Linked DNA regions of Bombyx mori. The protein of the gene in region 1 purifies or fractionates together with the protein of each later gene. This does not show direct contact. Links are inferred from orthologs where the notes say so. Each region holds a gene or a part of one and is shown in the gene's direction. Other genes may lie near its edges.

Evidence for each region.
Region 2: the proteins of Y14 (region 1) and regulator of nonsense transcripts 2 purify together in Homo sapiens (co-immunoprecipitation; 6 studies listed by BioGRID and IntAct, with this or other methods). This does not show direct contact. The link is inferred for Bombyx mori from reciprocal best matches to the Homo sapiens genes RBM8A and UPF2.

Annotation. Positions count from the first base shown.
Region 1 is NC_085108.1:4,111,726-4,116,049, reverse strand, and holds the start of Y14 (RNA binding motif protein Y14), read left to right. Parts: upstream 1-1,349; 5' UTR 1,350-1,487; coding exon 1,488-1,548; intron 1,549-2,228; coding exon 2,229-2,331; intron 2,332-2,483; coding exon 2,484-2,601; intron 2,602-3,634; coding exon 3,635-3,748; intron 3,749-4,324. Other genes in the region: uncharacterized protein LOC101745843, read right to left, coding at 1-59.
Region 2 is NC_085110.1:14,020,757-14,025,205, reverse strand, and holds the start of regulator of nonsense transcripts 2, read left to right. Parts: upstream 1-1,451; 5' UTR 1,452-1,624; coding exon 1,625-2,320; intron 2,321-3,206; coding exon 3,207-3,419; intron 3,420-4,449. UniProt on the Homo sapiens protein: Involved in nonsense-mediated decay (NMD) of mRNAs containing premature stop codons by associating with the nuclear exon junction complex (EJC).

The DNA of each region.
Region 1 (4,324 bases):
TTTTTCGTTATTATCAATTTTTCATCCACATCGTTTTCTAATAAATTACAGTCACTCATGATTTTACTACTAATTTCATTTCAATGTATGCTAATAGACTGAAACTCTGAAAGTTAGTTTGACATTGATTATTATTTATTTGATTACTCTATTCTTTTTTATTTTCAGATGATAAAAAATTCACAAGCTTAAAGAGTATATTAAAATTTTAAAAATCGCATTTATTTCAACTAAAGAATTAAAAAGAAAGATCAAAAGTTAGAAGTTCTTTTCATATTTGAAATAATTTAATCATATTTTATGATTTTCGAATATCATTGAAAATTGCATTGTACTTAAAAGAAGTGAAAGTGATAAATATATATAATAATTAAGTAACAAATAGCGGAGGAACTGGGGATACCTATCAGCGACGCACTCCACCGGGCTGCAGGGCGGGATCGATGGAGACAGTTGGTTGACGAAATCGGACGGAGTCACGATCCTCAGCAGTGAGGAACCGATCGAAGAGAGAGAGAGAGAGAACAGTTTCATATTATTCGAGGAAATTTGTATGATGATTAATAAATGTATACATATAACATAATTTTTTTGGCAATCCTTCCCTTTTTTTGGTGGTTTTTTAATCATATTTATGAAAAAAAAAATTGACATTTTTTTTGAAGTAGATATCTATTTGTGCTATTTTTTTATTTTTTCCTACTTATTCTGATAGCCTTGAGAGGCTATTAAATTTCAGCTTCGCCATAACTTTATAAACTTGACAGTATAAAGGCGGACTTAATGCCATTTAAAATACAGTTCTATACAATACACTTCTATTATGTATATTATCTATTTTTGACGTTGATGTACGATTGTTGTGGGACTTTTTGACGGGAACGCGAGGAATGAAGTTTTGTGATCTGTTTTGTTTTGTCTATTTAGTGCTTCTTCGAGTTTAAAGGCGTAATAACGGTGGTTTATTATCTGTTTAGTAACTGTGTAAGTGCACAAATGTGTGAAAATGAAACAAAGCCGCCGAACGTAATTTCTCGGGATCTTCCAAAAAGTGCACTGAAAAAGTCTCACTAAATGTCCACCATTTTCCTGAGATTATATTTCATCCCATATCATCTCATCTCCTTTCATTTCATTTCGTTTTAATTTCCATTCAATTTAATTTCCTGCCATATTTCATATAAAAAAAGTTTTCATTAAAATTAAAATAAGTCTTGACCTAAAAGTCTTAGTTACCAGGTCATAAAGTCCTTTAAAAATGTGATTGTCGTATACATGTCTTATCTATGAATAATCTCTCAAATATAATAAGTGTATAATCTATGGAATAATCTATGGTGGTCGTGTTTGATGCGGAGTTTTCAAGATTAATTTGTGTAACTTTTTGATTTTTTAAACTCATATGGTCTCTAGATAAATACATCTTTATTAATTACATTTTATTTAAATTATTTACTACTTCTCATAACGTAAATCTACTATAAAACATGGCTGACGTGCTAGATATCGAAAATTCAGAAGAATTTGAAGTCGACGAAGATGGTGAACGTAAGTGGAACAATTGATATTATTAAAAATATTTTAATCAAATTTTGTTTCCTATTCATTATCTGTAAAGTCTGCTCGTAGCTTAAACAAGCAATTATGTGTGGACATAAAACGGGAAATGTTGTCTCAATTAAGGTTATAATTTCCGACTGAATTTTTTTTACATTTGTAATGTTATTATCGCCGGTCGACGTTAAACTTTCACCACTGGGTTTAATTTAAATGCACACATACAAAATGATGCACACCAGACTTGTTAAGACATATAAATCTAACATATAGATTGCTTGTTCCCCATTTTTTCATATTTCGTGCTTTAGGACATTACATTGGTGATTCTTACGTGTTTTATAATTATTCTTGCACTAAATTAAGCTTAAAGTAAACTAAAAATTGTAATGTTGTTGATTTCCAAAAATAACACATAATATACTGGTGGTAGGAGCTCTTGTGAGTCCGCGCGGGTGGGTACCACCACCCTGCCTATTTCTGCCGTAGCAGCCGGGCAGCCGTTGTATACTTGAGACCTTAGAACTTATATCTCAAGGTGGATGGCGCATTTACATTGTGGATGTCTATGGGCTCCAGTAACCACTAAACAACAGGTGGGCTGTGAGATCATGCACCCAACAATAAAAAAAAAATTTAGTGTAAAATTACAGTATTTAAAAATGTTACAGAGGGAATCGCTAGACTTAAGGAGAAGGCACGTAAGCGAAAAGGTCGTGGTTTTGGCAACGAAGCCGGTGGAGGCAGTGCTGCAGAACGGGGTAACCGCGGAAGGTAATACACAGATTTTGTCATTTTCCATTGTACTGAATAATAATATTTCTTGCTAATCAACAGAAGCTCTGTTTCCACTCTGGAAAAACCCACAACCGAACCAGGCTTAACATGTCCAACAGTGGCCAAAACTTTGTATTGTTTTGTTGCAGATACGACAGTTTAGCTCCGGAAGGCGATAGCGGTACACCAGGACCTCAGAGATCAGTTGAAGGCTGGATCCTGTTTGTCAGTAATGTACATGAAGAAGCACAAGAAGAAGATATACAGGCAATTAAAACTTCTTTTATTTATATTTAGAAGATAAAATTTCCACTTTGTATCTACTTGTAGCTACTGTTTGAGACACACCTTAATTTGAAATGGTTATAATTACAAAAAAACAATGTGAAAGATTAAAAGGTATATTCCTATTTAATTAATGTGAAATGTGAAATAGGTTAAGTCAAAGAAAAGATATTTTGTCATGTCAATGTATTTGTTGGTAAATAGACACGCATCAATAGGGACATTGACATATTCATAAAAATGTGAATGTAGCCACTTTGAAACATTAGTGTAAATCTGTGGAATAGTATTGATCAATAATAATATAATAATTTAATAGGACTATAGGTTTTTTTTATTGCCTTTCTAGGCAACATGCGAGCAGTAGACGAGCATATGGCCCACCTGATGGTAAGTGGTCAGCGTCGCTTATCGACGTCAGCAATGCGCCAGGGACAGAGCCAAGCCGCTGCCTACATTACTACATTGCCAATAAGATTAAATTATTATATGACCAATAGAATAAGTATGTAATACAAATCCTTTTTTTTTAATAAAAATATGTCAAGTTTTTCATAGAATATATGCAGACCACTATTACAAATTTTATTGAAGTTCTTTAGGCGCGTTGTGAAAAATTGATGAGAGTGAAATTTTACGATGCACGCGCACCGTGACACAAATTTAACAGAAATGAAGTTGCCCACTAAATCGCTCATTAAAATACGACCGCCGTAACTTGGAGAGTCTGAATATAGCCGCAGGTGAACTTTCGCGCATGTTCACTCGTAAAAAAAAGTGTGATTAGCATTTATTTTTTACTAATATAAATGACAAAATTATTTTTTAATATAATTCATACTAAATATTATTAAATTATTAACATTAAATATATTTATTTAACATCTAAAAAAAAATAAAAATTAATAAAAATAAAGTATAACTTCTTACGCGCGTACATAAGTACACGCACCCTTTTTTTATAAGGATCGGTGATTCGATCAGTGGAAACAATATTAGTTTGTTTTGTTGACAGAATCAATTTTCCGAGTTTGGTGAGATAAAGAATATTCATCTGAATCTGGACCGACGCACAGGCTTCCTCAAAGGCTACGCTCTAGTTGAGTACGAGACTTATAAACAAGCCGCTGTAAGTACTTAGTGCTACTGATTAATATAAGACTTACTGTGCTTTGGTATCCACTTTATACATACTGAATGATGACCGGTTTTTTTTGATAACGCCATCTTGTTGTGTCTTTAAAGCGGTTAGTTGCCCTCAATTAAGAAAAATAGTATTATTATTCGCCAATAGATGTCAGGAAGAGTTAATTTTTGAAAACACGAATAAAACAACATTTTCTCAAAATAAATCGTAGCTAGATCGATTTATCGTCCCCGAAATCCCCTGTATACTAAGTTATATGAAAATCGTTGGAGCCGTTTCCGAGATTCAAATTATATACATATATATTAATATACAAGAATTGCTCGTTTAAAGATATCCACTGTATACATCTTAAACTTCGTATGTATCTTTTTTAATTGCTTTGTTTGGATGAAAGAATTCACGGCCCGCTTGATTATAATGGTTACTGTAGTCCATAGACACCAACAATGAAAATACGCCATCTAACAGGTAACATGAGTTGAAACATGACTTCAAGTCGAACCATATTACTGCTTCACAGCAGACCTAGACGGGGCGATAGTACCTACCCATGCG
Region 2 (4,449 bases), on another chromosome or scaffold:
ATTTTGCTTTTCTCGGGGTATTTTTTTTTTCTTGCGTTTGAGTACTTGATTCTTCTTGTTTGACCTTTTTAAAGGACATTTTCCAGAAATTCCAAAGTCATATTTACTAGAAGATCCTCCTCGTTCGCTTAACGTCAGGCAAATGATATACATGCTTGCGTGCGACGCTATTCAATACAATAAAAAAAGTTCAAGAAATACCACGTGATGGCTCTTATAATATGAAAAATACATTGCAAAATTATAGTTTTCACGATTGTTTTTTCAAATTTAGTATATGACATAGATTAAGTACAATTTACAAGACAAATGGTATTAAATATTATAATGAGAAAATATATCTCACATTTTAAAAATATATGCTCACACTAGTAAAAATTTTATCAATGAATCTGACATATGGAAGGATATTCCACAAACTGGAGAGGATTCTCGCTTAAAACCACTTATATTAAAAGTGTTCACCATGATTACACGGAAACTTTCACGATTTTCGAAAAAAAAACAAGCCACAAGCTGTATCAGTGCCATTTTAACTTCGCACTACAAACGTAAATAGACGCCATTTTTCTTTTAATCCATTCATAGCTCTTTTTCGGTGATGCCAACAATTAATCTGGCTTCCCACCAAATTCAACATGAAAACCATCAGAAATCTACGTACCTACCATAAAATTTTCCATTAAACAGAGTTCTTATTAATATAGAACAATATTTTTTTTGTTAATGAGCTTTATTAATATATGATGTTCTATTAAAAATCAATATATATCATATAATCAATACTTCTTATATAATTTATTTTAATAAATTGTCATCATCAGAAAATAAATTCACCATAACTTTGTACGTTTATGTTGAACCAATTTAATTTTTGACGTTGATGGAAATTCTAAATTGTCGCAATATTTTCTAGTTAAGTTTAAGTCACATCGTTTAAATAATATGTATTTAGATATATTATTGTCATAAAATGTTTAAAATCCTGTAAAGTGGATTGATTTTAACCTTTTCAATAATTTTCAACAACGCCCAAGCTACTAAAAAATCCACTAACCACTAAAAGCCATTTTTGATAACTAAGACGGGGGTCCAAATTCCGAGATTTTATGGAAAATCCTCTAAGCTAGCAACACTGCTTTTTGTTTGTAAAATGTGCGAGAGGGACACCACCACTTAATAATCATTCTCTTTTCAGACCGTTTTTCCTTACATCTTTTGCTATTTAAAAATAAACTTTAAGCCATAGAGATAAAGTATATTTTTAGTTTTTATGTCAAACGAAGTAAGCACTCCAGTTAGAATAGTAACTCTATGATTTCATCCCAGTTGATTAATGTCTCAGATTAATAATCTTCATTTCATTTCACTGCATAATATCATTTTTCATAAAAATATGAATATAAATTAAAATAAGACATGACTTAAAGGTCTTAGTTACCAGGTCATAAAATCCCTTTAAAAAAAAGATAATACACATAATATTTATGACACCTTACCCAAATGTTTGTAAATTTTTAAATGAATTAAATGTGATTTGCTGAGTTAATAAATGCAAAAGAAAGTTGCTCACACCATATAGTGGTGTCCATTGGCTTCAAATAATACCTATCTAAAAGATAAAATGACTGCCACCAACAACGATGAGGCAAACGAAACACCTATTGAAGAACCGCTTAAAGATTTAGAAGAAAATGAGAAAGCGGCTCTCGAAGAGTATACAGCTAACTTGGAAGCCAGATTGAAACAAAAATATGAAATACGTAATCAAAATTTGAATTGCTCTCGACCACCAGAAAATTATTTTTCCAAGCTAGATTCAGGTTTGAAAAAGAATACCACATTTGTAAAAAAACTAAAATCATTTAGTGCTTCTCAGCTGGATGTACTTTTGAAAGATTTTGCAACATTAAATCTTACAAAATATATATCAGAAGTGGCTGCTGCAATAGCAGAAGCAAAATTGAAAATGTCTGATATTCCTGCTGCTATAACTCTATGTTCAGTTCTTCATCGTACTTACGCTGATTTTTCATCTAACTTTTTTGAAAACTGGCAAAAGATTTTAACATTCAAAGCGACTGATAAAATAACAAATTCATCAAAACTGCGGGTGGATATAAGATTTTATGCAGAATTAGTGGCTGTCGGTATTTTTATGAATAAAACTGGATTGCCTTTGCTGGGTAATGTATTAACTGTTCTAATAAACATGGACAAAGAAGAGCATAACAATATACCAATTTTGTTATCATTTTGCAAACACTGTGGTGATGATTATGCTGGACTTATGCCTAGAAAAATACGAGAAGCTTCTGAGGTAAGTTGATTTCTTATCAGCTATTCTTTTATTTATTAGTAAATACAGCTAATTATTGTTTCTTAATGTAGGTGAGTACTAAATAAAAGTAAATAAAAAATTAATTTATCAAATTAAGAAAAGAAAAAATGAATATGTTGATAATTTATATTTAAATATAATTGGTGTGTTGCTTAAGTAGTCCTATATAAACAACGTAATACTTATTTTATTTTTATTTGTGGTTTCACACATAACAGTTATAGAAGAAGAACTTATAGAATTGACAATGTGTGGTCAATGTTCAACGATTCTTGATAGCATTCCCATCGTTATATTTGTGTGAACGTGAAATTAATGCTGTGGCAACACTGCTTACTAAAAAGAGAAATCGTTTGTATGTTACCGAAGGCGAGGACTTGATTTTGACTGACTGTTTGATTGACTGTTTTTGAATAAATGGGAACCTGATATCAACAAACTTATTAAACAGCATTAGATTCATCCTTCACCTTAGTTCTTATTTTAGAATCGATTTTTATTTTTATTTTTTTATAAGAAATCTGTCAGAACATTATAAAGTTGTGCGTCAATTATCATTTTCATTGGCAGGTGTTGTGTACTACCTACTGTGCTCAGGTATCAAGTTAACTCTTGAGGTAAAAGTCTCGTTTAGAATGAATAACAACTAATATAGCTCGCAATAATTAATTGAATTTGAAGTGATAGTGGTTTTTAAGTAGGTGAAAAAATGGGGCATTAAAAAATAATTTATTCTCAAAGTGGGCAGTAGATAAAACTAAGTTTGGGAATCCCTCGTTTATATGCATATGTGTAGTATTAAGTAACATTTAGGATGGAATGGCTTAGTTTGTAATAAATAAAGAGCAAAACATTTATTTTCCAGAAACATAATATTCCTGTTCCTCGAAATACATTTTTACCGGCAGAGAAACAAACAGCAGTTAGAACTCTCTTGAAAGATTACTTTCTTTCACTAACCAAACATCTGCTGGCGGAAAGAGCTCAACTTCAAGCTCTGCATGCAGCAAATCAGAGGACTCTGCACACCAGAGGAGAACTCTCACAAGAAAGAAAAGAACAATTAGAACAACATCAAGTAGGCTTACATTTAATATTAAATTTTCAAGTTTGTAATTTTAAGCAATAATATCTTCCTATCTTCTAACTTTTGTCTGATTCTGGTATAATTGAATTTTCATATTTCTATATCATGAAGCCAGTGTTAAAATGACAAAATGAGCAGTTTAAAGACTGTTCCATTTTATTAATTTAATCAACATGTTCCTATTATTAATTAACAAAGGTAAAGTTTTTCTTATGGTCATTGTATACAGTAAGTCCATGAGCAACAGTAACCACTCACCAACATGTGGGCTGTATGCTTGTCTGGCTACAAAGGCGATAAAAAAACCTATACCTACCTCATTCTCTTTTACTCCAGGTACATCTAAAGCTATCAGAAGTTATGAGACATAGATTATCCATTCAGTTAATTATAAACCGACCGAATAACATATTAAAATAATAAATGAATTATTATTATAAATTAGATATATATTTAGATATAATTATAAAATAGATTAAACCAATTTTATACCCAGTTTTTTTTTTGTGATAGCTGAAAAATACAATCTGAGATAAATTTAAAAATAATGTTTGTGAGCTTTTTCATAATCTGTAATTTTGCACATCATTTAACAGACTGAATAGTATTGGCTGGCTTTCTTTGAATAGCATAAATTTCTATAAAGTATATGATATCTTACAATTACCATAATTTGATTAAGCATAAATTGATTAATACTGGTGGTAGGACGTTTTGTGAGACCGCACGGGTAGGGACCACTACCCCGCCTATTTCTGCAGTGAAAGCAGTAATGCGAATCGGTTTGAAGGGTGGAGCAGCCGTTGTAACTATACTGAAACCATAGACATCATATCTCGAGGTGGGTGGCGCATTTACGTTGTGGATGTCTATGGGCTCCAGTAACTACTTAACACCAGGTGGGCTGTGAGCTCGTCTACCCATCGAGCATTAAAAAAAAAAATTACATTGGAGATGTCTATGGGCAACCTAAGCAATTAACAAAAATAAAAAAAAGACATAAATTTTATGACATTTTCAG